Linked DNA regions of Struthio camelus. The protein of the gene in region 1 binds, or shares a complex with, the protein of each later gene. Links are inferred from orthologs where the notes say so. Each region holds a gene or a part of one and is shown on either strand. Other genes may lie near its edges. The genes, in order: FBXL13, TCTE1 and DRC3.

Region 1 (4,213 bases):
TCCATGGTATGGGGTGATGCCGTAGGACTGGTGTCTGTCAATGTTAAAAAATTAAATGAAATACCTGATATCAAGTTTGAGACATTTGCCTTAGTTACTACTTAATGTCTTTCACAGAGGTGACTTTCAGCTCTCGGTTGCAGGCCACAGTGATCCAAGATCTACTGTACCCAACCACCACGTTATGGCAAGAAGATTGTTTTACAACAGAAGCAGGATTTCAGTCCCTTCTCCTGAGCCTTACGACTTCTTTTCAAAGCAGAAAACACAAGCAACACTCGGCATATGTTATTCCTTGGTTAACCAACAGCAAACCTTTCTTTTAAAATTATTAGCAGTATTCCCCAAGCATGTAAATTTTCCCTCTGTTCTCTGCAATGAAACGTGGAAATCTGCCTGGGCACTGCAGGAAAAGAGACTGAAACGTCTCCCCTTGCTGACTGCTGCTTCCAGAACCTGGGGCTACACTCAGGGTCTCTGAAGACCAGAAAGCAAAGTCAGCGTTAATTACCACAATGCAAGAGCTAGCTCGAAAAACAAACAACAGTTGTTCTTCATCCTCCTCTGTCTCCTGACCAAGAACAACGCGGCTGCGCCCTCGGTGGGCTGCCCGCGCCTGGCGCCTCACCTGAGGGCGGGCCGCAGGGCGCCCGCCGCCCGGCCCCGGCCCCGGGCCCCGCCGAAGCGCCCGGTCTCGGCCGCGGCCTCGGGCCCCGCCGCCCGCCGCTCGCCGCCCGCCGCGACAGGCGGTAGCAGGCAGCGGCCGCCGCCAGCAGCAGGAGCCCCAGCGCGGCCGCCCGCAGCGCGGCGCCCCGCGCCTCCCCCATGCCGGGCCCCTCCGGCCCCCTCACGCCCTCATCACCGCCTCTCGGTGCCCGGGGCGGGAACGTCTAGCTGCGCAGCACTTCCTTACGCCGCCAGTGGCAGCGATGCCTGCTGCCTTTCCGTGTTAGCTCCGCTGCCCTTTCGGATACCTGCCTGCGGGCGGCTCGCAGGGGCGCTGCGCCTCCCGCCGGCCGCGCTCCGCCGGGCGGAGGTCCGAGCCCCGCGCCGCAGCCCGAGCGCTGGCGGCGCGGGCCCGGGAGGGCTCCCTGGGCCCGGCGTCGGTTCAGTGCTACAGACACGCCTCTCCCAGCCGCTTACAACGTGCAAGGCTTTCTCCCACGGGCTAACTGCCGGCCTACGCAGAAAGCCCTTTGCCGTGTGCAGCTGTGACTCCTGGAGCGGGGTAGAGCGGGGCCGGGGCCGGGCCGCAGGCCCGCGCGTTGCTAGGCGACCGCAGCCCGTCCCGGCGCCGCCATGTCGTCGCTCAGGGACGCGGACCCCGAGCTCCGAGCCTACTTCAGGCGCCACAACCTCCTCGGCGTCTACGAGGTAACGGCGGCCGCTGCCCGCCGCCGCCGCGCCGTGGCCGCGGAGGGGAGCGCGTCGCCCTGCGCACCCCGCGCCGCCCTCGCTGGCCGACGGCCTTCCTTCCGCCCGCTGAAGTCGGCGGGAGCGCAGACTTCCCCGTTAGCATCCATGGGCGGCAGGCGACGCCCTCCCTCAGGAACGTCCCCCTCAGGAATGTCCCCTCAGAACTGTCCCCCCTCAGGGATGTCCCCTCAGAAATGCCCCCCTCAGAAATGGCGCTGCCACCCTGCCCCGGTACTGGCCGCGGAGCCCGCGACCCCTAATGCTGCTGGGTGTCGGGCTGATTTTTGCTCTTGGCCTTCTGTTAATAGCATTCTTCAAACAATTTATGAAGACTTTAAACTGGGAAAGTTAGGTGGAACAAGACAATTCTACATCCTGATCTGTGTTTAAACTGAAAGTATGACCAGAATGAAGACAAAAGAGTGAACTGCTTTGGCACCTTCGCTATATTTGCCTAAGTTCCTTAGTTTTGATTGTAGAAATACTTTTAATTTTAGATTTCAGGTGGAAAGCTGAGTGTGTTCAGGAGCTAGATACTCTGTTTTGAGCATTGCAGATGCAATCTATAGTTTTTTGTGGCCTGTAGTCCTGTCAAAGGTGAAGATGGCCATGGACCACGTTTCAGACTTTGGTGCGTGGGGTATCGATGGGACCAGGTGTGAATATGCTTTCATGAAATGCGAGAGAGTAAAACTATGGGACGTTGTGAAGGACTGGGGGGCAAACAAAGTTTGGTTTTGGCATTCGGTTTATTATCCAATTCCCTCTTCCATTGCTGTGATTTCCTCCTTTTTTACTTCTGTCACATTTACCTCTGTCAGGTTCAAAAAAATCGGCTGTGTTTCAGTTTCATTAGCACAATGGACAATGCCTAAAGAAAAGTTTTAAGAGACATCCTGGTATTTTTAAGCTACCAAAAGTAGACCCAACTTGCAAGCAGCTGTCGCAGCCAGGATTTCCGTGGAAACATTAATAGAGAAATCTTGAACCAATTAGTATAATTACAGAGCAGCACCGCCAAGCAGACTATGAGCGAATACTTCTCACGAGAATCCCTCTCTTGATTGATCTGTGTTTTTTTCAGTACAGTAAAACAAAAGACAAGGTGTAACTGCGTAAGGGGTATATCTTGATTTCAGCGCTTCAAAAATAGCTCATGTTTACATTTCCAAGCAAAAGCTTTAAATTCCTTTAGAGTAACAGTGGCATTAAATTAATAACTAAAAATGAAAGAATCGAAGTTGAGATTAAAGGGAATTTCTTAAAGGAAGAAACTAGTTACAAAATTAGCCTATTTAAGATGTTTTAAAAGACCATTTATAAAGGTCTTTTACTTTTTTTTTCTAATTTAAGGATTGATGCCTCCCAATATCTGTATTTTTAATTTGTTGCTTTATTATATTTTTATTGGTTTATAAAGTCACAGTATGCTTGTGAGATAATAAATGAGATGATACTGGTCCCAATATGAAGGAACATAACAGCTAAGCCCAAACCCATGGATATTTATGTATATACTGTTGAAAGAATAGTTGCAGTTCTAAAATGGCTGCTTGCTGAGGGCTTTGTATGACTGGGTTGTGGTTTGAACGTGCTCCAAACGGAGTAGTCATGTCCAGATAATTTGGGATTCCCTACTGCATCTGTTTCTTTCATTCCCATCTGATTTTTCTCTTTCGAGTCTCATGCAGATTCACTTTTGAACGTCATGCGTGGAAAAGTAAACTGTAATCCTGCAGACACTTTGGATATAATGCCTTTCAGTGTTAAGACACTGTTATGTCCTGTCCATTCAATATTAAAATTAAATGCGGGCGCAGAGCTGGCTCAAAATTTTTCTGCCATATGGCCCAATTGAATTGTGCCATGATGGATGAATGACTACGGTGATGGGAAGAGGAATGGGAGGGTCCAGGAGCATGGCTGGAACAGTGACGCCTCTGAGAGATCTCTGGCTTTATGCTCTTTCTAATGTTAGTGGAAGGCAGTAGCTGACAGCCCCTCTTGGCCACATTAGCCTTTTTGCATAGCCTCTTCTTTCCCCCCTTCCCCTCACAGGAAGAGCAGCAGTAGACCAGACTTTCTAGGTGTCCAGAACAGACAAAGTTGACAACCATTTTGTCACACTTTTGCATCAGTTTTGTTACCGTTGGTGATCTGCTGTTTTAGACTGCTGTCTACTTTGCAAGAACTCGTCTTGGGCGTGCAGACTTTTACTGTGTTTACTAAACTGCATCTGGTTTAGAATGTAGTCCCTTATTGCAGGTAAATATGAAATAATAATATTTAATATTTATAATACTGCATTGACGTTTAAGCAAGGTGTTATGAACTATTTAAAACGTGTGAACGATAGTGTAATCAGAATATATAATAACACATCTTCAACACTGCAAATATGAGGCTGTGAAAAAACATATTTTCAGCAACAAGTCAAAATAGCAAAATTCATATCTTTGTACATTTTTTAATATATTGATCTCACATACTACTTTTTGTAATAGTCTCCTCATCATAATGGTTAGAAACCTAAGTAGTCATTCAGGGTACTATGTTGTGCTAGGTGCTGCACATTTATCAAAAGATGTTCCATGCCAAAGTGATTTATAATCTAATGATAAGACAAGTCAGCAAATGGGCATAAGGAAACATAAAGACGTAGCAAGATCATTATTAGTGAGCAGGAAAGGCAATAGTCACGACAAATCAACAATGTAACCATTGTCAAGCTTCACACAAAAGAGAGTTTTATGGAACTTGTGTGAAAAACAGGATTACAGGACATACAGTGTCTTGA
Region 2 (4,213 bases), on another chromosome or scaffold:
CTGCCTGCCTCAGCGTCCTTCATCCTCCTGCTTTGTGATGGAGGAACCCCTGCCACTGCCATCTCCCTCATCCTTATTTCCTGACTCTCATTCTGAAAAGATCATTCTTTTCTAGGATCTGCTGAAAATGCATTTAAAGAAGCCTTTGCTGACACACTTGCTGCAGTAGATATGAATCATTTTGCTTTGCTCTTCTAGTTCCTGGCATGTCACAGATCTTTTGCACATTCCTTTGTAGGCCCTTTCATCGGATGTCTTTTGGAGGGGGAAGGAGCAAAGGGAGGAAAGCTAGCAAAGCCTACTACAAAGCTTTCGGGAAAAGAGGGGCTTGTGCCGACTGAGGCAGCACAAACTGGGACTTCAGGGGAAAAGGAAGCAGCCTCATGCAAGGGAAGAAAATGAGGCATTTGATCTGGGGAGCACCATCTGGCTCTTGCCCTCCGTAAAGGAGGAGCTGTTTGCAATCAAAGCACTGTTCATCTGAGGGATATTGTGGCACAACACACTACATGGCTATCAGCCTCTGTGTAGGATGTTGTCACAGGATCCTTCGACTCTATCATGGTGCAGGGCCCCCTCTGCCCCAAGGCTTCCCCTTGGTCTTGTAGGAAGCTGCCCTTGCCTCTGGCACTGCCAGCAATGCAATCTCAGCTAGAGCATAACTAGACTCAAGAAGAATTTCCCCTACGCTTGCAAACTCTCCAGTTAACAGGGCCTTTACAGTCATTCAGTTTCAACAGCCTGGTGCTGTTTTCACATGCCCTGGAATCTCTAACTATCCTTCTCCCTTTCAAGCAGCTCCCTTGAAATTCAGTTCCTCATAATGACTCTCTTGTTCTTATGAGCCTCTTTCCTCTCCCACTAAACTGTAGCCCTGTTATGTCCAGTTACCCCCAATACATATTTAGCATAGGTCTGGGCACCTTGCGACAGGCTTGCCAAGCCTGGGCAACGCTGTCGAATCCAGGACCCAGAAGGCAGAAGAAGAGCCTTCTGCTTCCTGGTGTCTCCTCTGACTCTTTCAGACTGGTGGGGTTGGTGAGGGAACCATTAGGACTTCCAGACAATAATCATACATGTCCGATAATGAAGGCTGAGAGTGCTGGTCCTGAGGTAGGGGTAGGAAATAGCAAAAGGGAAGATCTAGTCTGGGAAAGCTTTGCAGAGCTAACAGGACTTGGGCATCCTGCCTTCTGCTCTAGCCTGGTTCTTTTAGCTCATATCTGCTTATCTTCAATGTGGGTCTGAATAGAACTGACCCACCTCATCAGTTAATGGATGTTTGGAAGGAGTTCAGCTGGTAATTAATTGTGAAAGGCGGAAAAAAATGAATATATGTATAGTAAGCATCTATCTTTACAGAGTCATAAGAGCAGGCATATTGGAACAAATGTGGATTATCTGGCCCAGTATCCCATTTCTCACAGTGACCAGATGCAAGTATACATGTTGCTTCCCTCCAGCATTCTCCCCACCTCCGACCATTTTCAACTCATACCGAGCCAGATGTAGTTTCTGTGTGTTTAATCATTCTCAAAGGGGTTTATCTTCCATGAACTTGTCCAGTCTCTACTGAAACCGCCACAGATTTTCAACATCCACAATATCCTGTGGCAAGAAACTCCCCAGCGTAACTACAGATGGTGTGAAGAACCATCTCTTTTCTGTGTTTTGAACCCAGCTCCTGCCACCTTCACTTAAGGCCCTTATTTCTTTTATTGGAAAAGACAGTAAGCAACCCTTTCCTGTCCTCCCTCTTCAATAGCACTTTGAATTAACACCACATTATTATCTGTTTATTACATGTAGCACCTAGAGATGTCTTTGTGCTGGGCACTATACAAAGATAAGGCTAAATAATAGTCGCTGTGCTGCAGTGCTCCCAGTCCAAGAAAAGGCAAAAGCAGGCAAAGGGCAGGGGAAAAGTGCATCACAAAAGAGTAATGTGAGCAAAGTATTCTTATTGCTTGGCCTTTTACTAAAATTATCTTTTTCTGTTCCAGGCAGTCCAGTTGGAAAACGTGGTGGTGACTTCTGATCTCAAGCAATTTTTCTCCAGCTTCTCCTGAAGGAGAAGTGGGACCTGAGCAGGATGCAGGAGCCAGTGGCTGGTGATGTGAGCACAGCCCTTCCCACATTCCCATCCCAGGCCAGCTTCGCTGCTGATTCATCCTGTATACAGCGCATCATTGCTGAGGATCCTGAGTGGTCCCTCGTCATTGTCCCACAGCTCACCGAGCTCTGCCTCCAGCACATCATTCGAAATTTTGAAAGTAAGCAGGAGTGCCTCTCGCCTGGGACACACAGAGAGACAGCATCTCTTTTGGGAAGCAGGGGGTCAACAGAGCAGGCAGATGCATCTGAAAGTCACAGAGGGTGGTACCCAGCCCTGCCAGAGAAACAGATGGGGAAAAACATCTCCTCAAGCAGCTAGTTAAGCAAGCTATTTAGTTGCTAAGCATGTACTTGCACACTCCAGGGACACTCCAGAGGACATTAGTCCTCTGGGCTGCTATCCAGGATGTGACTCTGCCCTAACCTTGTCCTATCATTTCTTCTTCCTTCCATGGTCTGCTGGACTCACTACCTCAACTGTGACCAGGACTGTGAAGCTGCTATTTCCTTCTCTTGATTCATACATACATTATGGTAGTACTCAAGGATAGAGCTCCCATTGTGCTGAGTGCTGTACAAAGAGATGTAGAAATACTCCCTGCTCCAAAGAACCCTCATCTCAGAATTCATATTGTACTCACAGTTTCAGGCCTTCTCCACAGCTTTTGGTGGTGATGTGATAAGTCATGTCCCCAGGCAGGGAAAGTGCTTTTGAGGCAGGTGGACTGATGAAACACATAGAAAAACATAGAAAGGGTGTCTCATCTGGGAAGCGAGTGGGAGGAGGAAAGACAGGACCTACCTGTGTTTTTGGCTGACTTAGTGGAGTTGTAGCAAAAACCAAAGATAGGTATAAGGGTATGTTCACACTGGAACTATAATACAGTATAGAGAAGCTCAGCGCTGCCTTAGGTCCCAGCTGGGAGACCTTCCAAGTCCTTTCAGTTTGATCAGTCAGCCTGATGCCAAACGGATTGGACCGACAGTGCATGCATGTAAGTGTGCTCAGTCTCTTGGAGTCCCTCATACCAGCGTCTGACCTGTGCAGCTGCATCTTGCCCACTGCTGTTGCCTGAGTGAGCCAGACTGAAGCTAGTCTACTTATGCCAACATGTGTCTCACCTCTGCTTGCATTGTGAGCCTTTGCAGAGAAGGTCACTGCAGTGCCAGCTCTCTTATTGGAGAAGAGACTCCGGGAAGAGCCTCTGGTAAAACTCTGCACGTCCTTAGGAAGAAAATGCCCCAGAGAGAGAAAAAATATAAGACTAACCCCACTTTGTGTCTAAGAATTTGACTTCCCATGTGCAGACAGGCCTCTCCACTGATAAGGTCTGTGATTCAACACATACATGTACCTGTCACCAAGTATTCATGGTGTATATACACATTGCTTTTCTCTGGTATCTCTTACCACAAAGAACTTCCACCAGAGAAAAGTCAGCTGACACTCAAAGCAAGGGACTGAGGAGAGAAAGCTCCTGGGAAAGGAGAACCCTTATTTAAATAGGGTGGATCTGAAGGCTAAGATAAAGTGCGTCTTAGTGGGAAGGAATCAGGAATCAGTTTGGAGTAAGACAGACACCTGAGTTAAGATGAAAAGACGAGGACTTGTATGAAAAGCAAACAGACAGTTCACTTCTCAAATATCATCCTTTAATACGGTTAGAATCCACAGGGGAAAAGTTCAGCAAATGACAAGTCAAATTCTGCCATTACTGTAAGCCTAGAATAGTTGTGTTAGTGGCAGCAGTCTTTCTCTGAACATAAACTGAATTAAAACCAAAGTTAAACTGATGATCTGGATTTAGAGTGCTGGAAAGCAGATCCTTTCAAGATCTATTCAAAACTATATGCAAATTCCCAACTACAGGTCAATAACTTTAGTCAGGACCTTGTTTGTGGTACCCAACTTTGGTGGTTGCAGAGACAGGAGCTAAGTTCCTGATGCGGTCTCCAAATATTATGAGAGTAAATTCAATTACGGTGATATTTTACAGTAAAAGATAGAAATCCTACACAAAAATGAGTCATTTTCTGCCAGCTTAGTTCCCTGCACCGACTAAAGGTAACTGAGAAGGGAGCCAGTATCAGTAGAGGG
Region 3 (4,213 bases), on another chromosome or scaffold:
TACGTACCCCGAAAATACTCAAATAGTGAGCCAGATGTTCTTCTTTTTCTTTTTTCTTTTTTTTTTTGTTTTTTGAATGCAAGTTTATGTCTGGTTTGACAGTAAAAGGCAAGGTGGCCTAATGCTATGGGTGGCCAGGGGAGGCCACTGAATTGAACTGTCATCGCCATAAGCTACCAAATAGCCCTCACGTAATAGCCAGCGATGGTCACTAACAGCTTGGCCAGCATTTGATTTGTCCACATATAAAAGGGCCCAACAGGCCTATGGCCTGTAGGTGTCACCACAATATAAATGTTAAATAAGAACGGCAGTGACAATAATAGCACAAAGTTAAGCAGCTTTAAAGTTATCAATCAGCAAAGCCCCCCAGCTCTCTCTACTGAAACTACTTCATACAAGTATGACTAAAAATGTAAGTCCAGTCCCTTACTATTCATATACCAAATCCAAGCTAATCATGATTACATAATTGCCAGTTAGCCACTCAATGCTTAATTCTTCTACCCTCTAATAAATAAACATATAATATATATATTCTGATACTCACTTCTAAAACTGAACTGTAGCTCTGTGACGTCTTTAAAACTAATACCTTCCCTTTTGGCAAGCTGCCCTGCCTCATCTTGACTTTGCTCTTCCACAGCTTTCTGAACCATTTCTTCGCTGATCACATTTGGCTCAATGATATTGTATAATTGACTCATTTTTAGATGATAAGCGCCTTAAAAGAAAAAATAAATAAATAAAGCCACTGCCTGGCTACCATTTCCAAAATTTATTGAAATGGCATAACAGTTCCAAAGATAACAAAAACATAGCTGGGTATTGAGAGGATTTAATACCTCACGGATGATATCAAAGAGGTATTTTACTTTTACCACAAAGTCACTGATGCTACGCTGAGCACAACCGTACAGGCAGGCAACTTTAGCAGGTTACAACAGGCAAACTTCACACCATATTTGAGAGTTTTCCATAAAGAATGTAAATATTTGGCCAGATAAACAGAACAGCTAAAGGAGGCCCTGTGCCCTATAAACAACGAGTGTTTTGTACGGAAGGATCCTTCACATGGCAGTCACTTGTTGCTGAAATCCATCTTTATGGAAATGGCCTATTCAAGGCTCTGTATACCACATAAATCTAGTTTTGAAAGGCAAGTTTACCATTATAGGAAGGTTTGATTTATAGAGTAAGAGACCATATGTTAGTAACAGCAGTTTGCTAAATTTTAAACACTGATTTCATAATGAAAATAAAAACAAATTTGGGGAAGGAGGAAAACTTATAAACAATAGCAATGATTCGCTAAAGCAAACACTGAATAGAGATCCACAGTAAGGGTCATCTGACCGAGGCAGTGTATTTCAGTCAATATATAGCATTGAACACTTATACGTTCACTCTGACAACTGATTTAGGAAATCCACAATTCCTAACTCTCTGCCCTTGCTTTGTTATTTAAATATACCTAACGTTTCCCTGGAGGCAATGAGGCTGCTTGTCTTTCTGGAACTGCGCACAGACTCAGTATGAAGGACCTGAATCTTCAAACCTTCACTTCATGGAAAAAGTTTGGCTGATTTCTCTGCATAGGAGCACAGGAATGAGAAATGCTTGAATTTAGATAATTCCATCCTAACCATGCTTTTAAGTAACAAACCAACTCTCTATATGACCATGTTCAACACAGCCCAAGGAATAGCAGCACATCATGGATTCATTCATCTGTGACCTGCTGGACTTTCCACTGCCTTTTCCTTGCATTTGTCTGTCATCTCTTTAGCTAATGTTAGTGCCACAGATCTAACCAAACCGTCAAGGTCTGCAGCCTGCTGACACTCTGCAGGAGCAATCTGGGCACTGCGGAAATGAGAGCAGTGGATGCATCACCCAGACAAGGTGCTGCTGCTCACCATCGGCACAAGCCCAGGCCTGGGAAGCAACTCCGCATCCCCCAACACCCCCAGGCGCTGCAGGGCCCAGGACGGTGCCTCTCACCCTCCCTATCCAGGTGACACTAACCCAGGCGGGCTCCCCTCCTTCCCCCTGAGAAGGGGGCTGCTGGCCGCTGTGGCTGCCTGCAGGGACCAGAGACCCCAGGCCCCTTGGCCTCCCCAGGCCCCATCCCAAGCCGTCCTGGGGCCTCAGCCCCACGGCTGCCCGGCCTCCAGGCCCCGGTCCTCCAAGCCCCCGGCCCCCCGACCTCTGCGGCGCCCCAGGCCCCCGGCCTGGCCCCCTCCACCGCCCCGCTCCCACCTGCGCCTCAGCCCCAGGCCTCCAAGCCGACTGCTACGGAAGCCCAGGCCCGTTGCTAAGCAAGGCCACGTGACAAGCTGAGCCGCCAATGGTCAGGGAGTGGGTGGGAAGGCTGTCTAGCAATCAGAGCGCGAGAAAACGGTGTCAGCCAATCAGAGCGGGCACCGTGCCCTTGGGGCGGGAGGAAGCACTTGTGATTGACGTGGAACTTGCCCAATAGTCTTAGAGAACGGTTTGGCAGTTGCCCAATGGTGAATGCCTATAGCGATATCCCTGCTGTCGATCAACTGGAGGGCGTGGATTACCGACGGGGCGGGTCCTTCACTTGACAGTGATGGACACGCTCTTTAACCTGTGAGACCACGGGGAGTGCAGTCTCGGCCCAATCGGATGCAAGGAGGCGGGCCTCGCCTGGCAGGGTATGCTGCGGTTGGTGGGGGCGGGTGCCAGTCAGGGCGGGGTGGGGGAGGGGGGGCCGCCGGGCCGCTGTTTGTTGTCATCCCAAGATGGAGTTTCTGCTGGGGAACCCGTTCAGCACCCCGGTGGGGCAGAGCCTCGGTAAGGCCGGCTGGAGGCCGCTGGGAGCTCGGGGCGGGGGAAGTTGGAGGAGGCTCTGAGGGTTACTGGGGACACTGGGGGTGGTGAGGGCCTGTGGGGGTTTTGGGGGATTGCTGCAGGGAGGGGGGCTTGAGGTAATGGGGATCTCCGGGCGTTGATGGGGGTCTCTGGAGGCGATGGGGCCTTCTGTGGGGGTTAATGGGGGTCTCTGGAGGCAGTAGGGGAACTAAGGGGATTAATAGGGGGCTCTGAAGGCAGTGGAGGGCCTCTGGACATTAATCGGGGTCTCTGAGGGCAGTGGGAGGATCTGTGGGGGTTAATGGGAGACTCTGGAGGCAGAAGGACAACTGTGGCATCAACAGGGGACTCTGGAGCTAATGGGGGATCTGCAGGAGTTAATGGGGATCTCTGGAGGCAGTGAGAGGCCTGTGGGTGTTAATAGGGGGCTGTGGAGTAGTGGGAGGTTTCTGGAGGTAGGGCGGATCTCTGGGGATTGGTGAGGTCTGTGGAGGTAGTGCAGGGTTTCTGGAGGTAGGGCGGATCTCTGGGGATTGGTGGGGTCTGTGGAGGTAGTGCAGGGTTTCTGGAGGTAGGGTGGATCTCTGGGGATTGGTGGGGTCTGTGGAGGTAATGGGGAGCTATCAGGATGTGTGGGTGCTCTAGGGCTTCTTGAGGGGCTCTGAGGACTCAGTGTTTATCTCTGGGGGTTAGTGGAGGGCTCTGTGGGTGACAGAGGGTTCAGGGGTTAGCAGTTTTGGGGTTAGGCCAGGGTTCTGGGCTTCTGGTTGCTATGAGGAAGGAGCTACTCCACTTCAAGACAGTTGATGGATGAAGGAAAGTTGTGTGCTTCCTCCAGCTCCCTTCCCTGCATGTGAGCGCCTTGTTACAGAATTGTTATGTTCTTCAGCCTCAGCCGTCCTGTTCCCAAAGTGTTGAAACCTCTAAGGACCTGTGCATATGTAGGGAAGGTGACGAGGTTTAGAGGTATAAGCACCTGCTCAGTCTTCAGCCCAGAGCTTGAATTGTTGTTTTGCTAATGATCTGTTAACATTAGGCAGATTGTTTTGAGTATATTGTCACTGTAAAATTAGCCAAGCCCTTACGGGGTTGCTATGTCTACTCCTTCCCTCCTACACATACGTTCATTCTCATCTGTGGCAAGTCTGGTTTTGATCTGGGCTGTCACAGCTGGGACCATGGGAGAAAGCCCAGACTCTGCTTTTGCAGAGGTTAATAAGTTGCCCACAGCTGCATGAGCTGTCATTCCCTCCCGCTTTCTGCTTTTAGGCCCCAAAGAAATACAAGATCTCCCACTTTTCGGTGGGAAAGAACAATAGTCTGGCTCAGGTTCCTGCAGCACAGAAGCCTTGGCATACACTCCCAGAAGCCAAAG

The links.
Region 2: FBXL13 (region 1) and TCTE1 share a complex: the UniProt entries of both Homo sapiens proteins name them as parts of the nexin-dynein regulatory complex. The link is inferred for Struthio camelus from reciprocal best matches to the Homo sapiens genes FBXL13 and DRC5.
Region 3: FBXL13 (region 1) and DRC3 share a complex: the UniProt entries of both Homo sapiens proteins name them as parts of the nexin-dynein regulatory complex. The link is inferred for Struthio camelus from reciprocal best matches to the Homo sapiens genes FBXL13 and DRC3.

Annotation. Positions count from the first base shown.
Region 1 is NC_090942.1:14,258,381-14,262,593, reverse strand, and holds the start of FBXL13 (F-box and leucine-rich repeat protein 13), read left to right. Parts: upstream 1-1,025; 5' UTR 1,026-1,299; coding exon 1,300-1,374; intron 1,375-4,213. Other genes in the region: ARMC10 (armadillo repeat-containing protein 10), read right to left, coding at 1-34, 629-827. UniProt on the Homo sapiens protein: Substrate-recognition component of the SCF (SKP1-CUL1-F-box protein)-type E3 ubiquitin ligase complex.
Region 2 is NC_090944.1:104,557,321-104,561,533, reverse strand, and holds the start of TCTE1 (dynein regulatory complex subunit 5), read left to right. Parts: upstream 1-1,828; 5' UTR 1,829-2,092; coding exon 2,093-2,273; intron 2,274-4,213. UniProt on the Homo sapiens protein: Component of the nexin-dynein regulatory complex (N-DRC) a key regulator of ciliary/flagellar motility which maintains the alignment and integrity of the distal axoneme and regulates microtubule sliding in motile axonemes.
Region 3 is NC_090956.1:3,769,190-3,773,402, forward strand, and holds the start of DRC3 (dynein regulatory complex subunit 3), read right to left. Parts: upstream 2,321-4,213; 5' UTR 2,263-2,320; intron 1,592-2,262; 5' UTR 1,475-1,591; intron 725-1,474; 5' UTR 708-724; coding exon 551-707; intron 536-550; exon of another isoform or gene 171-535; coding exon of another isoform or gene 8-170; intron 1-7. Other genes in the region: TOM1L2 (TOM1-like protein 2), read left to right, coding at 2,769-2,820. UniProt on the Homo sapiens protein: Component of the nexin-dynein regulatory complex (N-DRC) a key regulator of ciliary/flagellar motility which maintains the alignment and integrity of the distal axoneme and regulates microtubule sliding in motile axonemes.